Lepisosteus oculatus: one gene and its partner. The protein of the gene in region 2 purifies or fractionates together with the protein of the main gene of each other region. This does not show direct contact. Links are inferred from orthologs where the notes say so. Each region holds a gene or a part of one and is shown on either strand. Other genes may lie near its edges.

Region 1 (12,694 bases), on a different chromosome or scaffold from region 2:
TAACTTCATAATTTGACACATTTGAGATTATGCAGTTTTTAAGGAAGCATATAACTCAAAACTGTCACTATATTTTGCATACATTTACAACGGATGTGTGAACTGAACGTTTTGTCTGTTTCCATGATTGATGATCCCGGTTGATCATGTTAAAACCACAATAGGCGCTTTGGCTAAGGAGCTGGGAGGTTGCCGGTTCAAATCCCGTGGCCAGCAGAGGAATCCTACTCTGTTGGGCCCCTGAGCAAGGCCCTTAACCCCAGGTGCTCCAGGGGTGCTGTATAAATGGCTGACCCTGCGCTCTGACCCCAAGCTTCTCTCCCCATCTGTGTGCCTGTGTGTCTCATGGAGAATAAACTGTGGTATGCAAAAAAAACAAATTCCTAATGCAAGAAATTGTATATGGCTAATAAAGTGATCTTATCTTAATAATATAAATATATATGATATGTAATAACTTAATTTTTAGGACAATAACTGTTGCTTAAACATTCCTGAATAAAAAAGGCTACATAAAGAAGACATAAAATAAATCTAAGAACACAAGAAAGGTTACAGGGTGATGCAGTGGTAAGCACTGGTGCCCTGGGTTCAATTCCAGATCAGGGGTTCTCAAATAACAGGGTCGTAATTGCCACTGCAATTACCACTTATGTATCTGAAACTATCTGGGGAATAAGTGATCCAATTATGAATAGGCTCAACACATACTTTCAGAAAACCATCATAAGGTCATAAAACTCAACAACTCATTTTTCAGAAATGCAGTTGTTGAGATAATGGGTACTATTTTCTTGATGGGGTGTGGATACAGTGAGAAATGTATTGATTTTTAAAAATACAGTATATCTAGGAGAAAATGATCATGTAATCACTACTGTACAAATAGAAGAAAGAAACAGCGTTTGTTGATCTATATACAATTAAATTTTACCAGCTGAAGGAAAAATGGCACACATCTCAAAACCAACTTCATAGAGACACAACTGTCTCAAACTGCCACAAGTCTTGAACTTAAAGCATCAAAAAAATAAACCAGAGTGCAGTGCAAAATAGTTTTTGTATACTTTGGTTTATAGTTTATACAGTACATTCACTGTCAAAAAAAGCACTAGAAATTAGATGACACAAATTGCAGCATCTTACTTCGAAAATACATACCGTATTTATCTCGCAAACCAACAGTGCATCTGAAGACACCTCCAAAAGCAACATCTTCTCCAAAGATGACTGAAAAGCAAAAAAATGAACACACATTAGAACTGTATGGTAGAGAGTAGTAAAGTAGGCAAAATTGTAAATTTACATAAAATTCAGCAACAAAGTAAACCTTCTGCCACACTTATTTGATTCTTAGTGTTTAGAGACCCTCCACAAAACCTGAACCGATAAGCCCATAAGGCTTTTAGTGGTTACCATCCACCTGCATTCAGACAAGATCCAAAGTGATTTCTGTTCATAAATAGCACATTTTATTTTATGAATAAATCTACAAAATGGCAATACCCTTTCAATGTGTAACTAAGAAATAAAAACGCAGTAGCAGAGTATTCACACTGTAAACATAAACAATATAGAACTGTCATTTAATTTGACAAAACATTGTCTATCTTATAAACCAAACTGGAGAAAGAAACATCAAACTATTCCTGTCAGAAAAACGACCCTTTTCATCAGTGATTTTAAAAGTAATTAAGCATTGCTAAGTGGCAAAGGAATTTGTAAAGAGGAGCATTTGGGAAACATCCAATTTTATTTTGCCTGAGTGAGATAACTGTGATGGTTATGGTTATATAAATCCTCACAACCTCTAGACCAAACTGCTCTTTGAAGTAATTTTCTATATACAATAGCTAATGATATCTTAAGCAAATGATAGCTTATCTCAAGCAATAGAAGGAACAACCCCTACCTGAAAGTAAAATCATGAATTAATGTGCTCTTGGAACATTCAACTATTCCTACTCCCACTAGAAATCTGCAAACATAAGCAATGAATTTTGTTTTGGACTAGGTCTTACATTTCTGGAACTGCATCGCTGACATCAAGGGAATCGTGGGCTATCGTGTGATTATCACATAAAGTACGCAATAATGGACTACTGAGAAATACTCATTTTCTCATAACTATGAGATGGCATAACTTTTTTTTTCTTTTCATGTCAGCCACACGCTTCTGGATAAATTAAAACTGTTGCCAGTGCCTATTTAAAAAATAATCATTGACATAGCCTCTGACGATGAAGTCACTAAACAACAGAATCTTGGTTTTCTCAACACAGTCTGTGCCACTTTATTTAACTATGTGACATCAAACAGCTGTAACATTTAACAACAGCTATGCAACGATTACCGGACTAGAAAGAGGGACAATTGATACCACAGAGCTATAATTTCATCACTTGCACAAAATGCTTAAGGATCTAAAATACACAAAATATCATCTGTTTGCAGTCTTATAGTCATTTCACAGGGACTCCAGACCCACATCAATTAAGACAGTCAATGAACAAATTAAGACACTATGGAGAATGGAGTACATGCACCAACTCCGTTTCTCATCAGCCAGCTAAAATCCAGCATGACTGAAAGAGCAGTCATTCAGAATACCCTGCTAAGACTTAAAGCACTGTCACAGTCAGTAAAATTAAGCTGTCATGTCAGATAAAAACAAACATAAAATGAGGTGTGGCTATAATTCTATACGATCAAATTGAAGTCTTAGAGTGCTAAACAATAATCAAAACATGCTGGATAGAAGCTACAGGATAACTTAGCTTGTGATAAAGGCAACCTTTTATTGGCAAATTTTCCAAAGGTTGTGAGTACACTCCCCACCATCAAATATGATACTGGGGCAAAACAGTCTTTCATGAAGGACTGGTCCCAAGAATGTAGTTGGAATACAAAGTTCACATTTTCCCTTATATTTAGCTACTTTTTTGTCCAAATATTATTTTTTAATTGTTTACAAGATATCTTAATCCAAGGTTACAATTTCTAAATCAAATCGTGTAATAACATAAGTCTATCTTGTTGGTTCAGAAAAAAATAATGACCAGCGTGTATCAGCAACCATTCTTGCAAATTGGTTGAAGCTGCAAAAATGTCAAACCACATTGCACAGTAGAGACAAAAAATAAATATTCACGACTATTTGTGTCGCATTTCAGGCCCAGTCCTGCTTTTTAATTATGACCATTTGAACAATTCATACTAGGCTACCATGCCTGCTGTGTGTAAAATTACAACTATTTTACTAGTCCCCACATAGTAGTAATATGAAGTAGGTTTTAGGACAAAAATATAATCATAACAAAAGTTACCTATTTTTATAAACAAAATCTAATTACTTGTGCGCTGGTTATCTGTATGTCATGCTTAATACAGATTGAATATAGAATTGCTGAGATAAAAAGCAGAAACATTTTAATCAATATCTCTCCTGTAAATTTATGATCTTAGGCGGACTTGCTTCCTAAATTCAAAATTTCTGCACAGCTTTAAATATTCTATTTGATTGTTTTATAATTGGTAAGGGGTAAATGCATTCCTAAGGCAGCTTTTTTTTAATACTAGATCAAAACACAAAGGTGCTAAATATCAATTCAGTTCTAATGCTAAATGAAGGACAAATAGTTGTGTACCATAAATCACCCAAATATGTTAAGTACTGTGCGGTCACAACATCATTGCAAAACTGAATTCTAGTAGTGCACTTTGCCAGTCGAAGCTAAAACAAAGTAATACACCACTAAAGAGACAAACAGCAGTTAAACTTTTTTAAGATTCAGGCCTTAGGGAAAGTTAAATGACGTCATGTTTCATACAGCTCAGTTCACAACAAAAGCACATTTTATAAGTATACAGCATTTTGATTAGGTTTCATTCTTTAACTTGGTAATCTGCAAGTCAGCAGTTTAATGCAAACTCAGCAAAATGAGCCGTCACATCCTGTACAATACCTGCAGTGGGGTCATTGGCAAGGGTGTTGTCCAAGGCACTCGTTATTGATTGGAAAAAATTCATTTTTTGGGTCTGACCTAGAATTAAGAATATAAAACAATAACATTAGAAATAATCAAAAATACCTGATTGTCTTTGCCCAAATTAACAGGACATTTTTCAGAATAATCACCATGTTTAATGATCACATTCAGGGACTTAAATGAATTCATCAATAAGCTATTTCCGCAGAGGAAATCTAGCAAAAACTAAGATTTGCTGTCATTCATGTTCTTAAAAAAGACACATTACACTTCTCGTGCAGTATTTAATTGCCACAACATTTACTTTTGCTTCAAAACAGGAATAATTTAGATCAACATTTTTTTTACCTTTTTAAAACTCAAGAGAAGCTGAGGTTTTGAATGCCAGATTGATCAGATTGATTGAGAATACAGCACAACAAAAATATTTCGCAAAATAAAGCGTAGTAAAATCAAGAATTCTGTACTTCAAATATATTTATCTACTTAACCGTCTTCTCGAGTAAAATTTCAGGTATAATCTTCAGGTTCCATATCTGTCCACTAAAAAGAAACTTCACTTTGTTTAGTGGAGCTTCACAACTTGCTAGCGTTTAAAAAGTCAATATCATGTGAAAAATGGGACCTCAATGGCAATTTTTATTTAAAAAAACATAAATTAATATTAAAACCTTTAGGATATGTCATTCCCAGGAGCTATATAGATTTTAAGACACAATTACTTTGAAGCCGAGCATGTTTTATTTCGAAGAAATTGCATAATACGAGAAATAATATCTGACTTCTGTTAAAACGCATCCACCTAAAGAATATAGCATTAACACTTAGTGCGTCCAACAGTCTGTCCTCTATGTAAATAGAGCAAGGGCGCCTCAACTAGTCTTACCATGCTGAGTTGGTGTTGGGTCAGCCTGAAAAGTGAAGTGGGCAGCATGCCGTTTCTGTATTTTCAAATGGGAATCACAACTGGGGACCAGTTTAAGCGACACACCCCCAAATCGGCAGAGCAAAACACTGTTGATATTGTGGATAGTGGCTTTGCAAGAGCCTGCACTTCTCTGCAAGAACCGAGCCACGGCCGCCATTGTTGTTGGAACCAGGAAGAGAAACAACCTCCGAGGGCGGGACCAGGCATACTGCGCTCTGGTTGGCGGAAAAGGAGGGCGGAGGTTTTTCTCCCCACACGTGGATGACCGGTTCACGGGAATGCTGATGGAACGTCATTTTCAAGCTCCAGCGTATCTATGCAACGGACGAAAGGTTACCCTGGACCCAAGCGGAAGTGCGGCAGTAGACATCGCCAGTGTTTCATGGTTTTGATACATCTATTGGATATACAGTATTGGTGGGATTATTACTAGTTGTAATAGAAGTGTCAGAATAAACCTGCTGGCCCACGATGCCTGCCATTTGTCACCTTTATGCAAAGTAACAACCCCTGTTCTCAGATTTAATTTTACTTCTCGATTTCCACTTTGTGTTTCACTTTTAAGGATTTTGAACTCAGGTTCCAAACAAAAGTACCTAAAAAGGCTCGTCTCTAGGGATCCTTATCAGCAGCATGTGAGGTTCTAACATTAAATGCATTCAGGTCCCCATTATAGTATTTTCTGTTCGAAACTTAAATGTATTGAGTTGTTAACCCGTGAGTGCAGGACATGCCTTTAAGCTTGCGAATGCACCTCTGACGCTCTTCCTTGCACTGAGTATACGGCACCAATGTCTTTCTGAAACACATCATTATATCTTTAATATCTTTTAAGTTGCTTACCATTTTTATGTGGATGTTTTTTTCCTACCCGTGTGCCTCCACTTGTGTACATTACATCACCTGACAACTTTATAAAGTCATATTCTGTATTTTAATATTTTGAACCCCCTTGCTGCTCCTAGTTTTTTTTTATCTATACCAGAATCCACCCATCATCAGAAAGTTGCATACTAATGGTAACGTGAGTCAGCATTCTGGAAGTGATATTAATAATAATAATTGCTTACACTTATATAGCACTCAAAGTGCTTTACAGGTAATGGGGACTCCCCTCCACCACCACCATTGTGCAGCCCCACCTGGATGATGCACCTGCAGCCATTGTTCACCAGAACGCTCACCACACACCAGCTCTGTGGGGAGGAGAGCAGAGTGATGAAGCCAATTCAGAGATGGGGATTATTAGGAGGCCATGATTGGTAAGGGCCAATGGGAAATTTGGCCAGGACACCAGGGTTACACCCCTACATAGCAGATAGTGATAGCAGTGTATCTCAACCTAAACAGCATATCATTGGAAAGAGGAAAAAAACACAAGGAGCTGTCAACTGAATATAAAAGGCATCTCATTCCAGAACTGAAATAGGAACTCTGAAAGAGTTGGGAGGCAGCAGTAGTGTCACACCACGATTCTGCTCTATACCAGGATACAGTACATCATTGATATGCATCGGTGGTGCTAAAACACATCTCTGGGGTATTCTATTAATAAGACTGCTCTGAACATTTATCACTTATCTGTACTGCTGTTTGTTGACCTGTTCTCAGTCAGTTTCAATGATGGCTACAGCTATCAGTTTAGAAATTAATATTTTATGTAGAATATCACCATGAGACTTTTCAAAATCTAGGTCCTGGGACCAGAATCAGTACAAGCAATTTAATAAAAAAAGGCTTAACATTTTTATTGAATGGTGGAGAAATAAACAAGCAATAGCTTAAAAGACATGTACAGTATTTATTAAACAGAACTACGGACAAGACATAAAAACATAACTGATATTTACAATTGAAATGAGATCTTAGAGCCAAAATATATTGCATCTAGCCTTTCCAATTAGATCCTTTACAGTGATAACCTTAAACCTTATCTTCATAAGGATACGTAAACTAATTTTCTTAAAATATTTAGTTCTCCACAAGTTAGTCTGCCCTCTTAACTGATGCTAAATAGAATGCAACCTTTTACCCCTGAAAAGAAAACTTGAGTGGCAAACACTACGTGGTAGATTTCAGAAGGTAGTTTAAATAAATCCACAGCTCCACTCTCTCCCCTTAATTTAATCCAGTGTCCAATAACCTCATTTCATGAATGAGGTATCCATTTTTGAAGATGTGTCGTAATAACTCAGTCTGTTTTCTTGTTCTTCATTAATTTGGTTATGTTTTCCCTAAACGTACCATATAGTAGCACAAGCTTCCAGTAAAGATCTGGAAATCACACTGCTATAAAATCTGATTTTCACTCGTCCAGGAGTGGATATTTGACTAGATATCCTTGAGCTTGTGGCAAATTTGTATATGCTCTGTTTGAAACTGTTACTGCTGTTGCTTGTTAAAAGAAGTTTATTTGCTTAGTTAAGCAAGATTCTCTAAATAAACAGAGTGGGGATTCCATTTTGGGCTTACACAGCCTGACCAAATTTCCTTCTTAATTCAATTGGTAAAATAATGTCACACATTTCCACCTTATTTGCTGTATAGTGTGGCTGCTGGCACAAACAGGCTGTCATGCAATACCCAGATGAGTGTTTTGCAATTCAGTGATGGATGCAGTAGATCCCCTTACATGTGAAGCCTTTTGGAATGAAAAGAGCTATATAAATGCAAGCAATCATTCACATCAGTCATATACTGATGCAGCAGTTTGTGTTCCTACATTTATCTTTATGAACATGTCTGTCATTTAGATACAAGTACTTAACTGTAGAGTCCTTACAGTTTAACTCCCTGCTCTCCATTCTATAGATTTACCTTCTTTGTAGATCCATTTATTTAAAATGTTCATCACACTAAGCTTTTTCACAGCTTTCCAGGGTCCTAAAAAGCTGAAGGCTCCTTCAGTACACCATGACCTCAGACATGTACGAACAAGGTCTGTCATTGCTTATCCATTTGTGTGGTCCTGAAACCCAATCTGATCTCGATTTTCAGTTTACTAGATTTCTGAATTAGTTACTCATGGAATGACTGCTGGTTAGTCCACTGTTTTAAGACATTAGGACTCTAGTGACCATCTTATCTTTTCTTATTTACTAATTCTATCTACCATATTAATTTGAGAATGTTTGGTATCTCATGAATTGCATCACATTTGCATAAATGTGGTTGAGTTTTCTAACGTGACAAACCTATGAACTGGTATGATAATACGGTATTTTACAGAACATCCTCATACCCGAAGAAGGCTCTTCAGCCAAAACATTGTTTCCTTTTTTCTCTTTTTAGCATGGAATAAACCTTTACTTGTTCCATTAAACAATACTGCTAATGAACAATACTGGATTAAAATGCATTTATGAAGGTACATTTAGGCTTACAATACACTATTAATAAACACTTAAGATGATTATATTGAGCTTTCTATCCAATTTGCACAATTATACAAGAACTGAGCCAAATGCTTTCACATGGAAAACTGGTATAAATTGGTACCCCCTGAAAAAATAACAGGCGGCTTACAAAGAACATTGTTTTATTTAACATATGCATTTACAAAAAATGGCGAGTGAGATGAAGTAGCTAAATATCCCAAATATGATTATGTAGGATGTTTGTCAATTAGAGTACATCTTGTTTTATAATGGTTTATAACCCTACACCAGCTCTTTCTGGGTGTAGATCTCCAACAACTGTACAGCAAAGTGTTCACATGTGAGAAATACACCATAACTGAGAATAAAAACCTTTACGGAAACATCCAAGAGCAGTAGTCAGAAATCTAAACAACGAGGAGCTGCTGATAAGATCCCTGTTGAGGGTTCTGAGAAGTGTAATTTAAAAAAGCAATGATTGACTGACAGAAAAGATGTAAGAAATGTTCATAAGTTTCCGCAACGGTCACAGCCATCCTGGTCTCAGGAGGAGTTAGTAGAAGGTTTCACGCATTCAGACGGGTCAAATTTTTTGCCAGTGCTGCACATCTTTGCCAAGTTCTAAAAGAAAAAAAAGGTTATTAGGTTAATTGCAATACCCTGACATACAGGTTTTATATTACATATAGGAGAGGCAAAGTTAACCATAAAATTGCATTATGTACATTTCAGGGGTGTGACTTTTAAGCTCAAGAACTGTTCGTGGGTTAATTACTGTTATATACAATGAGCCTACTGTAGTCTGCTCTTCTTGGACTAACACACAGCACGTTTTCCTGGGAACTGTGTCCTTGCTCTTACCCTGAAGACAGATGTATCTCCTAGACTAATTACATCTGTGAGAGACTTTCTCACAATGCATGTCATTTTTAATAAAGTACTGCATCACTACGGAGTCCCTTTGAATCAACAGTTTACACAGAGATATCAATTACACCATTAGAACCTTTTTAAGCCAACAGTCAACAATACTATAGTCCTTTATGTCACTGATAAACTAATTTACACCTTCCATTGAGACGTCAGTATAAGCTGAAAATGTCATTAAAACTTGCATTAATACTTACATTGGCAGCTCTTGAAATGCTGTTTGGTGAATTTAAAGCTGCAAGACTGCTGAAGATTTGTTTCAGTTCTTGACTGTTGAACTGAACTGTAGAAAATGAAGCAAGGTTAATTTTGTGCATCGTTTCTAGTAATTAGATACACAAATAGCACAGCCAAACTCATAAAAAGAAATGCTTTCATCCATTGCAGAAGGTCCAGATTTGGACTAAAATATAGATTTTAAATTGCCTGCATAAATAAGTCACCCTATTTAAGTTATACGACTTATAACTATAGTTTGTCTAATCAAGTGAATTTCATGCATTCATTTCACTTTTACAAATCTCAGGGTATTGAAAGCATGTGATCTGTCCATTATTTGTTTCCATAATTGGCCTCCAGAGATTGTTTCAGTGCTCTAATCCAAAGCACCAGGCTTAAGCAATTTCTAGAATACAGTTTTTTGAGATATTACGGAAGGGTGACCTATACCAAGTGATACAGTGGCTATCAAAAGTATTCACCCCCCCGGATGTTATATCTTACAGTGTTACAACAAGGAATCACAATATATTTATATGGGATTATTTGCCATTGATTGACAATAATTGACAATAATGTCAAAATAAAGTGAAAAAAATTATATTTTCAGAAATATATTCTATAAATATAAAACAGAACATAAGTTATTGCATAAATATTTGTCACCTTTGCTATGATACACTTAAATAGGCTCAGGTCCAACCAAGTGTCTTTAGAAGTCACAATTTGTTGAATAGAGCCCACCTGTTTCACATGAACTCAGGGTAAATATACACCTATCACTGGGAGGTCCCAAAGTTGAATAGTACAACACCCAACAAAAACTACTGTACATCATTAAGACAAAGGAACAGTCAAAGAAGAACTGGGATAGTTTTGGGATAGGATTATTGAAAAGCACCAAGCAGGGGAAGGATACAAGAAAATTTCCAAGGCAGTACATATCCCCCAAAGCACAGCAAAGACCACTATACCAAATGCAGAAAATAGGGTACAACTGTGAAACTGAAAAACGGGGTGTCCTCAAAAACTGAGTATCCAGGTGAGAAGAGCACTAGTCGGAGAGGCCACCAAGAGCCATGTCACGACTTTAAAGGAATTACAGTCTTTCATGGCTGAGATGGGATTAACTGGGCATATGACAAGTGCCTGGGTGCTACACAACTTTCAGCTTCATGGGAAAGTGACAAAAAACTCCCATCAAACCTTGATTACTTTGCCAGAAGGCAAGAGGGAGAAACTGAGAAAATTCTATGGCCTAACAAGACCAAAATAAATCTTCTTGACCTCAACGGTAAACTATGTTTGGCGCAAGCATAGCAGCATCCCTACTGTGAAGCATGATGGTGGCAGTATTACGTTATGGGGAAGCTTCGCTATATCAGGGCCTGGAAGAGTTGTGAAGACAGGAGGAGAGTACAGAGAAATCCTGCAGGAAAGCCTACTGCAGCCTGCAACACACATGGAACTGGGAAGAAGCTTCATCATCCAGAAGCACAACGGCCCAAAACATACAGCCAAAGCCTGGACCTCAACCCAATCAAAAGTCATTGGCAGGAGTTGAAAATTACTGTTCATCAGTTCCCATCCAACCTGAGAGAGTTTCAGCAATTTTACAAACAAGAACAGACAAAAACTGCAATGTAAAAAGCCAGTAGAAACGTATTCAAAAAGACTTATGAGTGTCAGTTGGTAGGATGCCTCTACCAAATATTGTCTCAAAGGGGTGAATACTCAGTCATTTTCTATTTTATAATTAACTTAGGAGAATCTGTAGTATAATCTGTAGAGTGTTTTCTTTCAAATCAATAGCAAAAACTCCCAATTTAATACATTATGGTTCTATATTGTAACAATGCACAAAATTCCAAAGGGGCTAAATACTTTTGATAGCCTGTGTATATTATTAATAATTAACATTACAAAACATCTCCAGTATTACTTTCTAGAACATTACTTGGTCCTGCACGGTCACAAGTAACTCACAGAACAGCAAGTGACTTGAAACATTAAGTATATTCATGGACAACTCAATGAAATGTGATGTTTTAAACCCATTAGCCCCCCAACTACAAATTCCACGATGTTTCAAATTGTAATAACAGCATTTAGCAATGGCTTTTAAGAACTCAGAAACAAAATGATTTCACCTATTTATACAACACCTGCCACTGTCCATTTTACTTCTTAAATGTTCAAGAAGTTCTCTGAACCCCACCCATTTTGTAAACCAACATGTTGACCAGGCTCAGAAAATGGGTGACAAAAGGATTTTTATTAATCTCCTCCCACTATAACAAACTAAGCATGCATATTATATGGGTCTTCCCCCCCCTCAAGAAAACTGCAAACCAGCCTTTCTGATAAAGTGACTAACTTCAATAGCTGTATTACCTGGTTCGGGTGTGGGCTGTGGCTGCAGCTGGAGATATGGATGCGCAAGAAGTTCTGCAATGGAGATTCTCTCTTTTGGATTGCGTACCAAGCACCGCTATGAAACAGGAAATGTTTGTTTATTCTTGTTCCTTGTTCAAAAATGTCATACTACATTTCACACCTTTGCTTAACTATTTGATATCCAGCTCATATTACCAGTGCATTTCACATGAAATGAAATCAGAATGAAAACAGAGAATGTATTGAATAACACCGGAACAATACATTTTAAATAAAAGTTACTGAAATAGGGACATCAATTTAAAAAAATATAATTCCGTCTCATAAGTTCAACAGAGTTCTACATTTAAGAGGTTTATATTTTCTCTAAAAATAACCAGAAAGGGATGGCTACATCTGAAAATAAAATTACAACTACAGAAACACTAATCTGCACTTCTGCTTAACATTATTGAACAAATTCAAACAAATGAAATGACTTTGTCTATGATTCAATTTGGGAGCTAAAGGACTGGACCAACTGCAGGAAACTTCATCACTAGCACTTTTTAACAGCACTTTTCCCACCAGTAGGCGGAGATGATTTTCCACTTCCAGATGATGAACTTTGCAGCAGAATACTTATTCATCTCAAATCTCTCTCCAATATGGATAAGTAGAGGTGATCACTTTACCCCCCCTCCTTAAACCAACAAGACACCCCATTTTTATAGCTCCCATGAACAAGATGGAAAAAATGAGGCTGAACTGTTGCACATTGTGTATTTATGTTGTGTAGCTGGTAAGAAAAGGCAAATGAACTCGAGAACTAAAATGCATACCTTGAGGACATCCTGAAGGTCCTTTTCTGAAAT
Region 2 (11,760 bases):
TAAAGAGGATATTTTTGCAGCAATGTAAACTGTTGAATGAAATGACGGTGGCCTGAATCAGGTTTTAAAGGCTACATAGAGCCTTTAGTTCACAGCAGCCAGAAAACCCCTTGCAAACTACCAGATAAATTCTCATTCATATATCAGATTACTGCATGTGTATATAAACCACCAAACTATAAGACACAACATTTCTTTCCTAACTGTGGGTTTACCAACTCATTCGTCACAGTAGCAAGATGCTTTTCTTCATACATACCATCAGCAGAGAGGTGCACGTGTCTTGCCAGGGCTTTATCAATTTCCAGGAATGCTTTGGCCAAAACCACCTCCAGATTCTCCTCTTCTGCTACCAGATCTCTAAAATGGCAAAGGTTCATGCACAAGTAAATAAAATATCCCAACAAATGTGCGAGGAGCAGTTTTTATTCCAGGCGTATCCATCACACCAAGATTCACATTCTGAGCCAGCCCAGAAGGCTGTAAAATAGAGAACCGTGTATTTCTATATCAGACATTTTCCTGTTTATTTCCAACATATAGAAGTGCTGACTATGTTAATGGCATACTCCAGTTTCTACGGCTATTAATGGAATAGACGTACAACATGGAGAGTATGGAAAATAAGAACAAAGGATGGAAATTCATTATATACTGAACTTCGAAAGAAACATCACTTATAACTGCAGCAAATTCACATAGTTACTATGAAGAAAATGGCAAAAACATTGCACTGCATTGACATTTTATTGAACAGACGTGCCACAGGTTAATTCGTTGGTCTGTTTAATATTTATCATCAGCCAGGAGTCTTTCTGTGGAAATGACAGGATAGGAGTCTATATGCACACTGTTGCAAGCAATACAAACTGTGCATATGCAGTGAATGCTTCTGGCAGCAGGTTGCCCTTTCTTGTAGAATACTGTTCCATTCCTCTCACACAGCCTGCACAAGCATGGAGTGAATCCGTTCACCAATCTCTGAGCCCTAGCCTGAGCCACACACATCTTAAATCTCTTCTACAATGTTTTGCATTGCCCTGTCTTTCTAGATTATCTTGGAATATATATATATAAGTACTGGTTAAGAAAAATGTCTAAAATCTCAGGTGGAATGGTCATGTGCCCTAAGACTGAACTAATCTTTTCTACCAGTCAGAAATGAAACTGTCCAAGCGCATTGCACAACTCTATGGGAGTACACCACCTACACCTACACCAGTGGGATGAGAACACAGTAAAATACTGCATGTAAGAGCAATACAAGCAAGACAAAACTCACACACATTGTGTCTGTGAGGAGCAGTACCACACTCTCACACACACTGTGTCTGTGAGGAGCAGTACCACACTCTCACACACACTGTGTCTGTGAGGAGCAGTACCACACTCTCACACACACTGTGTCTGTGAGGAGCAGTACCACACTCTCACACACACTGTGTCTGTGTAGAATAGTAACACACATACTGCAAGACAAATTCCAAACAAGACAGCTGCCTGGAACTGGGCTTCACTTTGACTCTGATGCTCATTATAGGAAAAAGTGGTGCGACCTACACTGTATTGCTTTTCCTCTTTTAACCATCTCTCAGGAACCTTCCTTCAGGCCCACTAACAAAGCTCAGGTTTCACGCGACGGGGAGGACTAGAACAGCAATCAGCGACACATCTGCTCCTGCTGATTCACGTTGAAGAGGAAACGTACGAGGACACCAAAATTAAATGAAGGAGGGGACAAAAAAAAACAATCAAGAAGGCGCGTCAGCGTAGGAGACCTACTGGATGTATTTCTCCATGAACTTGTTGCAGAAGTCGGCAGCCACTGGCCCCCCATGCCCATCATACACTGCGAAATAGAGAACGTTCTCGGTCATCTGCGACACCTGGAAGCGGTCCTCATTCTCCCTGCGCTTGCCAATCTGCGAGGCACAGCCCACCTTGGACACGCTCACTTTGGGGATGGGCTTGCCGTATTTGATGCTGGAGGGCATCAGGATGGGCTCGTCGATCCGGTTATCCCAGATCCCGAAGGCATCCCAGGTGGTGGGGCGGCCGCTGCCATCCGGGTCGAACCTGGAATTGCTGAGCCTGGCGGGGGAAACGCAGTGGAAGTGATGCCTGTCCTCCTGCAGGCGCCTGGACGTCGTCAACAGCGCCCGGCTCCGCACTTGCAATCCGCCGGGCCTGAGCAGATTGATCAGTGCGCCTACTGACATCACTCGGCTCCGCGCGGGACAGAGCGGAAGGCGAAACCGCGATTCTGCTCTCCCACGGGTGTCGCGCTTCCTGCGACGCTTTCAAGGGCGCACTGAAAGAAAGGGGAGAAAAGGGAGAGGCAAAAGGGGGACAGTTATGCTCACTGGCCACGATTCGCTGGTCTAAATGAAAAATTGATCAAAATCCCCCGGCAGGCCGTACACCAGCTGGAATTTTCCATCAGGCACACCGGCTGAATCACTGGGAAAAACGCCAGTGCAGGCTGTAATCTCCCCGGAAAGACCGACGACTCTAAGGAATCACACTGGTTTAAAGGCCCACATGATTCGTTTGTTTATATACAATCAAAGACCGCTCCTCCGCGACGGCGTACTACTGCCGTGAAGGCGGGGGCTGGCAGGAAAAGCACACGAGCCTCTGACTGCAGCCCTACAGAAACCTCGCCCAGCGGGAAGTGGTACAATTTCCGTGCCGAAGAAGGCAGAAATGTACCCAAGGTTGAAAGCCACACACATCTGCTGCAAGATCACTCATCATCCACACGTGCCAGATCATCCAAATTTCCCACAGTTCACTAACACACCCAACGGCCGTAACAGTCTACTGATAAAAGAAAAGAAAACAGTGCATCACTCACACCTGTATAGGAATTCTGCCTTCAAAGAAAGTTTAATGCCTGAGACTTGTTTCTGAATAGATTCAGACTGGAAGGGAATAACTGTGTTGAGGTCTCACATATGGCATCTATATTTCTACAAAAAGAAGCCCGGAAAGTTCTTTCATAGGCATTCAATTATGAAAAGAAATATCAGACAGTTTATATACTGTTATATTTACAGTTTGGTTTCTAATTCTTACTTTTCTGCAAAGATTTAAATCTGTTCGTGTGGCCCACAGGGTTGTTGCTAGCCTGGCACAGGTACCTTGTAGCAAGGTACTGTAGGTTTGAGTAAATCCCAGCTTTACTCTCATCATGAGACCTGACCATTCTCATAAAATAAAACCATATACATGCTTCTGCTCGTAAATATTGGGGTACATACGAGTGGTTCCCTTATCGGCAAGGCCTTGAAGACAACTCTACTTTCAACGCAGCTTGTCTTCACAGCAGAGAAAGGTGCAGCAGACTGACTTCTGTACACAGTAGATTTAAAGGCCACCTGCAGTACCACTGATGCTGCGTGGGGTTTTAGAAATATTTTTGATATTCGTGGAGTACACCAGACTTCGTCACGCCCTGGCTACAGACTGATGTTATGGGAGTGGGATTCCATTTAGAGCTATCCCTTCTTTAACAAGAAGCTTGAGAAACAAAGGCTGCACACAAGAACCTGGGACCGACGCGTTATGAAGGTAAAACAAGCTACAAAAAACGGGCATGAGATAAGCGAGCTCTATTTGCGTTTATGCTGCGCTTATTATTCATTTGGCTGATGCCTCTACACAAAGTGATTTAGTATTTGCAGAAATTTGCACGATTGGGCCTTTTACTGAAGCAGTCAGATTGAAAAGCTTTGTTCCAGGGGAGTGCAGCAGTATCCAGCTGGATATCATCCCTTCTTGTGGACTGTTTGAGGACATTAGACATGTGACGCGAATATCAGTTTCTATGTTTCTACGCTGTGGATTAAGTCTAAACTTCACTCGTTCACTGTGTTACTTGAGCAACACAGCAGCAGAAGGAATAAAACACAGACGGTTCAGTAAACAGCCAAATCTGTTTCAACTGCAAACTCAAATGCCTTTTCTCTCCGAGAACACAATAGATGCTCTATAATCATTAACTAAAAACAGGCAAATCCGTGCTCTGAGTACAAATGAGCAAACTGGCTGAATCTCATACATCAAATACAGAAACTTTCAACCTTGGTCCTAGAGAACTGGTGTCTCCAAGTTTCTGTGGTTAATCTGAAGTGTGTTTTGTATCTATCACCTCTGCGAGACACAACAAAAAGCTCATCATGGGACAGTTTGATATAGCACCAACCTTTTGGGTCAGATTCTCATGAACTGATCACTTTACATTCACAGCTGTTCAGTCTCTGCAGGGGGGACTGATTTTAAGGTCTGTATGCTGACGCTACTGAAAACCGTGTCCTTGTACTCTGAGCCGAGTGAAAAAAACAAGTAAACAGTCTAAACAAGCAAACAGATCAATTAATCAATTAGCACTGGTAATTAAGAGCTCAACTAGAAGGAAAATCAGCAGGCACAGCGCTCCGCAGATTACCTAAAGACCACTGAATTGGTTTCGACACCGGTATAAATTTATCAACTAAAAACATTATTTCTGAGAGAACTGTTGAAGGGCGGAGATTATCAGCACTCGGCCACCATGGCAAAATGTCAACCAAAACTACACCTCGGGGGGGAAAAATACCGAGACGTTTGGTCCATTAAAACGTATTAAAAACGTAGATCCTCCCAATCTTGATATTTTAAATAAAACTAATCCAATCCACGAACGATTAAACGTAAACGAGTCGGTTCTTCTAGTGATGATAATGCACCGGGTTGCATCCACCATTTGACCATAAATAAGGGTGACCAGACGTCCTCTTTACACCGGACATGTCCACTTTTTGAGACCGGGGTTTATACAATTCCAACAATTGTCCGGGATTGTGTTTTGCTCGTTAATCAGACTCTAAACAAACACAGCCTACATATTTTCCTTCGTTCCATGCAGTACCGGCAGATGTTTTGAACTTACACACAGGGTGGCTTGAAAGGGGCTTTTGTGTGTTTGGGGGGGGGTGTTTTTATGGCCATGAAAAATAACAATGTTTAACGTGTTTCATTATATTTCAAAATGTTTCGTTAAAACTGATCATTTTTTGCAGCCAATGAAGACTTCTCCTAAATTGTGATGTCTTCATTTTTTCCTCTGGTGTTAAGACTTTTGTTGTGTTCAAATGAAAAAAAAAGTTTAAAATAGGGCTATAATGGCTATAATATACTGTATTTTTGTTTTTTGTTTCTTGTTTGCCATTAAGGAAAAGAAATAGCAACCCTGCAACTGTTTAAAAGTTTACTAAGAAGTTAAATAATTAAAAAAAGATAGTTTAAATGGATTTTTTTAATTAGAAAAAGTAAGAAAAATGCATTACTTTGGAGGCATGTGTCGAGTGTCGATTATCCCCCCGTCCTCTTTTTTGAAAACCAAAACATGGTCACCCTACCCTAAATGCCATTTCGTCAGAGGAACTATTTTGGTTCCGTCCAATCAATTTGATCCAATTTCTGTTCTGGGCTGAGGCCAGGTCTAAGAAAACAGACATTTACGACTCCCGTTTTCTTTTTTTTGGGGGGGGACGTTTGTCAAGATTTCTGAATGACCTGTGCGCAAAGACGTCCTTGACTTAGTTTAGGTAAGTGACGCAACACTTCAGTGGCGCCTCAAGCGGCATTACGCAGTCTCGATGTGGAGCCCGAACATGAATCAATATGTGCCATTCCTCCACGCATCGGCTGTGAGGCCGCTCATTTTTCGTAAACAAAACCCCAGCAAAATTGGGATCGATCCCAATTTTTTGCCCCCCTTGTCTGATCACCAGAGGCATGCAAAACACTAGCCGTCGTCTCAAGCTCCGCTCAGCCCCCTTTTCCAAGATCTAGGCTTCGCCGCCCAGCTCACGGTTTGCAGGTTGGCATTTCCGCAGAAACACGGCCCCCTTACCTTGGTCTCTGAGAAGCAGCCTCCTCGCACCCCTGGGTGATGATAGTATTATTAGTAGTAGTATGGATAACTGTACTCCCGGTCCGTGGCGATTGCTGCAATAGCGAACAATCGCAGGATGCGCACTGTACTCCTTTCAATTACAATGTGGCAGATTGTCGATTACTGAAGGGGGCTCGACCAAGCTGCTGCTTCACTGACGTCGTGATCCGCCAATCGGAGCCCGGCGCCGACCGAGGACAGCCAATCGCCGGGCCTGGTCATTCCCCCGGGAGGCGGGACGTAGCGGTGATTGTCATGTCGAAGGCCCAATCAGCCTCAAAAACGCGCCGGGAGAAAAAGAGAAACAAGACATTTATCCTACATGACGCCGGCTTAGCGGCGGGGCTGCCGTCCTGTTTCATGTGAATGATGGAGAGATAAATGAGGGAGAATGTGAAGTGTGCGGTGCGAGATATTGATATATTCCTCCTCAACGCCCAATGTCCAGAAAGACTTGGCGACATGCTGGCCGAGTGGCTGGTGCAAAGACATGTCTCATTTGTCCGCGAATTACGTTTTAATGAAAGCCTCGTGAAAATAAAAAAATCTCAGGAAAGACACTTTTTCTATCGATTTATTGTGTGCAATTACACATATTACTCAATGCAGAATTGTGGTGCAATTATATCGATGTTAGCTTTGCTCTTTTTTTATCTGATAGCCTGACAAACCAAGGAACATAGCGCATCTCTCCTCTGATTTACAGAAACCAGGCCTTAAACTGCAGTGGGCGTTGTAGGAAATCTCTGATTCTGATTTGTCCGACTGGAGACCAATAATTGAGTGTTAAGCTCCGCCGGTGACGTCTGTTTGGGCTGAATGTCTTTGCTAGGTTAAAGTTTGACTTCTCCGTTTCTTTCCGAGGGGTACACGTCTGTATTGATTTCGGTATTATTGTAGTGAGGCTCCGCTTCCAAAGTCTAAATTAGGGGACCTCTGTCACTGTCCTAGAAAAGGTGTGACAAAATATTTTAACTTATTTGTTCAGTAACGTTGAAGACAATATGTACAGGAAACAAACGGCACCTTCTGAGTTCCTTGATCAGTGCTGATCAGTCCTACTCAGAAAGATTAGCTTGCAAAACTAAATGTCAAAATAAAAACTTTATTGCACGTATTTAAATGACTGATCTACTGCCATCAAGATGATAATAAAGGATTAAGAAAATAATACTTAATTAAACAGCATTATTTATATGCAGAGCATGCTTTTTACATACAGGGAATTGTATTTTCTCAGAAACCCAATCTGAGATAAGATTAAACGCTCAGTAGTTTATAAAACGTTGCCCTTAACACCATTGCGTAGTTAGATTTAGTGTATAATGCCCTCTAGCGGTACAATGTATAACAGAACCTGTTAAGTACTTTAAGGTCAGTGTCTTGGTAACATATTTAAATAATGTGGTAAAACATAGATGGTAAATCAGTGCATCTATAAACTGCAACCATTGTAAATGTTTACCATCATTTGTAATATTGGAATTTCATGAGGAAACCTTACCTTCCCAAGATCTGACCTGTCTTGGTCAGATAACTGCTTTAAGCAGCAGAGTATGTATTTCAATAGGAATTACAAAGGCAGTTGTATAGGTGTAAATTTTCACAGTCGATTTCACGGTTACATCTGTACTTCCTGTGTTGTGTATGAACAGTATTTAAAAGGGCTGCCATTAAAGCTTTGTTAAAAAGGTACAGTTTGGAATCTAGAGTGTCCTGTAATTACAGGCCTATATCTCTTCTTCCATTTTGTGTCAAAGACAGAGGAACATACTGTTGCATTTAAACTATAAAATAGTTTACTACAAACTCTCCTCAAACTCCTTTGGTCTGTAGATTGATCGTTTTCCTTAATTAAGACTTTTGTGTTTCATAGTCAGACATTTTGTGTTGTACCATTAAGGATGTGAAAAAAGAGGAACTCAAGTACTGTGCTGTCATGACATTTTTGAAAGCAGAGAACACAGAATATTTTTTTTATGAAATCTGGTTTAAAGTGATCTCTGAGGTTGGAAAAAATGTCCAGAATCCCTTTCTACCTACATTTTATTTGAAAGGAGTTTTTTTTTTTCAAAACTCGGGTTCTTCCTCTTCAGCTTCCTTATGGAGTATATTTCCTGCATTCTTACTGAAGGCTGAAAGTATCCAAAACTTAGTCTCACCCCCCTTGAGATCACTGTCAGTCCCAAAACTGGTTGGTGGAGTATGGAACAAGCTACCCAGCAATTTTGTTGAAGCCGATGCTCTGGCTTACTTTAAGAATTGGCTGGATGAGATCCTTGAATCAATTAATTACTAATTACCATACAGGCTACATGGCCCGAATGGCCTCTTTTCATCCTGTTTTATGTTCTATCGTTTAATAACGAGCAATGAGTCTGCATCACATGTGAAGCATGACTTGGCTATGCTTTGGTGGGACAGAAGAAAGATTTGCTAATGGTTGTTCCATACCTGAAAAATGCCCAAACACAGGCAAGAATATGAAGAGACTGTGGTGAGATCATAGTAAAAAAAAAACACTCTGAGTTGGAGATTGAATACTTTCCTTGGTGCAGATTTGAATACTTTCCTGAATCATGACATGATGCTATGTACTGTAAAGCAGATACCCTGATGTATCTTTTGGTAAAAGCCTTAGGAAATTCTGAAGCATTTTTGTAATTAATTAAGTACATGTATACATATTGTCCAATGTATTTTTACAATACATTTATTATTTTCTTATTCATGATATTGTCTCACTGTTTACCTTCCTAGGCAAATATATTTATCACATGAATCTCAGCAGTCACACCAGTTTCTTGAAAGATGTCTAGGTACTGGCTTCAACAACAACACATTCATGACAGCTGTGTGTTATTTCCATACCATACTGACAAGGTTTCTTTGGTGGAAGCACTCCCTGATATGGATCCAGTAAAGGTGCACGTAGTGTTTCACACAAGTATATTGAATGTTGGCAGTTTTTTGTTTAATAAATAATGACATTAAAGTAAAATGTGTGTGTTATCTGTCACATGAGATTAGATAAAACTATTGTTAAGGCTTGGTGAGGACTAGATAAAGGTTAGACACCATAAAATCACAATGTGGTGTATATGACTGAGAAAAACCTAGATTCATATATATATATATAAACAGGGATTTTGAATTTAATCTAAACATAATTGTATATTGAATAGAAATATAATTGTTATATTTGAATATACATGAGCTCTAGATATTACACAACATTAAAAAGCAGAACTGTCAGACCACTAATTCCGCTTTGTAACATTTAAAGTCAGCAGCCACAGTGAAACTGCTGTTTCACCTTTACTACTATCTCCAGCTATTAATGTTTGTGTTTGTATATTTATTTCCTTTTAGCAGCCATCAGGAAGAGCTAATTATTTCTAGACTGCCTTAGCTGGTTTAGAGGAGTTGTCTCGATTTAGTTCACTTTGGTTTTAGAGTTGAGACTGTCCTATGAAGCTTCTTTTGTTATCGGAGAATCTTGGTTAGTTTGTATTAAAATTGGTCTTTATATTGTTCGTATGAAAATTGAGAGGACAATTGAGAATAGATTCTCAAATTGATCTTTGTAAACAATTGTAGATCAATAATGTGTGTCTTTCATTTTGAGTTAAGTTTGTAGTTGTTGTAAAAAGCTTTGTGTTTTAAGTTATTTTTCCTTTATTTAACCACCAGAAACAAAGAAATGCGGTGGCCACAATCTGAGTCATTCAAGACTGTGGGCGGAGGTGCCAGTGTCCTTCCTTAATTTGCATTCTAGACAAGCAGGTGTCAGGATCCTGTTTTTAACATTGGTTTGACTTCAGCGATTTACATGATTCCCTCATAAGGTTTTACTATGTATATGCAGAATATCAAAAGATAAATTAATTACAGTAGCAACAGATTCACAAAGTTCTTATCAGGGAAATGGCCATCTGGTTTTGTAGCAGGTACGCGGACATTTCCTCGAACAGACGTGACTGAGATACATTCATGCTACTAATCAACATTTCTCATCAACAGTGCTGATCAGCAGGGCTCAGCTGTGAAAGTCACAAGCTAGGGAGCTGAGAGTTCATGGTTCAGGCAACACAAGCTGCTTGCCCACATGCTTCGTAGCAGTTTGCAGACACTTGTGTGGCTCTGTCTCATTGCTCTCATAGGTTCTGGACAAGCCAGTACCTGGCATTGGCTAAATGTTTTCCCAACTAATTCCAGATATGCACAATAGGTCCCCAGTCTGGGGGGTTGGGCATGAATTAAGTAACTGGCATGGTTCAAATGTCAGACTCTTGTTAAATAAACTCTTTAGTATTGTGTAAATACTAAAAATGTTTCCGTGTCAATTGCAACCAGCATACTGGTGTGTAGCTCTGCAATATATTCTCATGTTCATCGCAACTGACCCTTTTTGACAGTGGCTCATGACCTTGGTCCTAAGGTACCCCTGTTTCCACCAGCTTGTGTTACATCCAAGGTCTAAACCGCAGCCTAACAGACTCAGATTGACTGTCAGAGGTATTTTTAAGGGTGAGTGGGATTTGTCATTGGAATCGATCCCGTATCCATTTGTGAGGATCACAACTTCTCTCGCTCTGTTGTGTGTTAACTTGAGCTTGAAATGTAACCCGTCGTACCTCTGCGGAATGAAAAAGAAAAGCGATGTCTGTGTGATACATTGTCGTGGCCACCTGTATCTGATTCTCCCTAACTCGATGAACTGTTCAGTGCTGTTTAGACAGAAACGAGGCTTGCAAACTCTAAATAAACACGCCAAGGAGAGAAGTTCTGTTTGCAGAACAATACACGTTTGAATCAGGGGAAATGTCGAAGCCGAGGACTCGGCCGAACAAAGTGTTTAAACAAATAAGCAGGTAAATAAAAGGCCTCGTTAAAGAAAGGTGGGGTGAGGAAGATCATACAAATGATTTCCAACGGCAACAGCACTACATTCAGGTCCAACAGCACTTCCTAAAAGGGCCACAGGGTGGCGCTGCTCTCCAGAGCAACATTTTTTGAAACATTGAAAACATTTTCAGACATGAAACATTTTTCTAAAATTAAACTAACCCTAACCCCAAAAAGAAATACAATAAATCTTGATTTATTATTGAATGGGATTAGTGCGTAAGTATAATCTTGTCTGAAAATAATCTAGCACTTCAAAGTTTATTTAGCAATTGTTCACTAATCATAATAAAGGTGTCTAATAAATATGTATGTTTAATACACGAGGTGAAGACATTATTTGCTCGATAACACAGACCTCCCAGAAATTAGCGGATCAATACATGTGAATATATTAATTAGGACCCGTGCTTTATCTAGCACTTGTATCAGGCCAGACTGATTTGGGGCAAAGGAAAAACACCAAAATCTGGGAGGAAGATATTTCTGTGCATATCTCCTGGGAATTTCAGAGAATCGCGATTATTCAGCTATTTAAATTTGACCAAACAATGTACGCGTGTCCACTTGATACTCAAATACCATTTTGGACATTATTGGATTTTTTTTGTGCCCTCTGGATGTTTCGTTCGATATACACATTCAGATTTATCCATTTAATACAAAAGTCATTATTTAAAAAAAAATGTTTTCTATATCTAAAATATAAAATACGATCTTTAGAACATATTGAAAACCATAGTCAAATACTGCAAAAGATTTCTATAAAAATGAAGCTCATTACGTGTCTAATGTTTTAAATGTATTTAACTGCATATATAAATAATTTAATTAGGGTTCTTATTATCATTTATTCTTGAGTGTAGATAGCGTAATTTTCCAAAAGCATTCTGGCATAAATACATGCATGT

What was found.
Region 1: the proteins of ppm1kb (region 2) and bckdhb purify together in Homo sapiens (affinity purification with mass spectrometry; 3 studies listed by BioGRID and IntAct, counting the BioPlex papers as one, with this or other methods). This does not show direct contact. The link is inferred for Lepisosteus oculatus from reciprocal best matches to the Homo sapiens genes PPM1K and BCKDHB.

What each region holds. Positions count from the first base shown.
Region 1 is NC_090697.1:30,784,190-30,796,883, reverse strand, and holds the start of bckdhb (2-oxoisovalerate dehydrogenase subunit beta, mitochondrial), read right to left. Parts: upstream 5,109-12,694; 5' UTR 5,075-5,108; coding exon 4,876-5,074; intron 4,044-4,875; coding exon 3,966-4,043; intron 1,231-3,965; coding exon 1,162-1,230; intron 1-1,161. Other genes in the region: dual specificity protein kinase Ttk, read right to left, coding at 8,838-8,915, 9,422-9,507, 11,838-11,934, 12,662-12,694. UniProt on the Homo sapiens protein: Together with BCKDHA forms the heterotetrameric E1 subunit of the mitochondrial branched-chain alpha-ketoacid dehydrogenase (BCKD) complex.
Region 2 is NC_090696.1:72,158,392-72,170,151, reverse strand, and holds the start of ppm1kb (protein phosphatase Mn(2+)-dependent 1K), read right to left. Parts: upstream 6,087-11,760; 5' UTR 5,900-6,086; intron 2,312-5,899; 5' UTR 2,220-2,311; coding exon 1,783-2,219; intron 361-1,782; coding exon 260-360; intron 1-259. UniProt on the Homo sapiens protein: Serine/threonine-protein phosphatase component of macronutrients metabolism.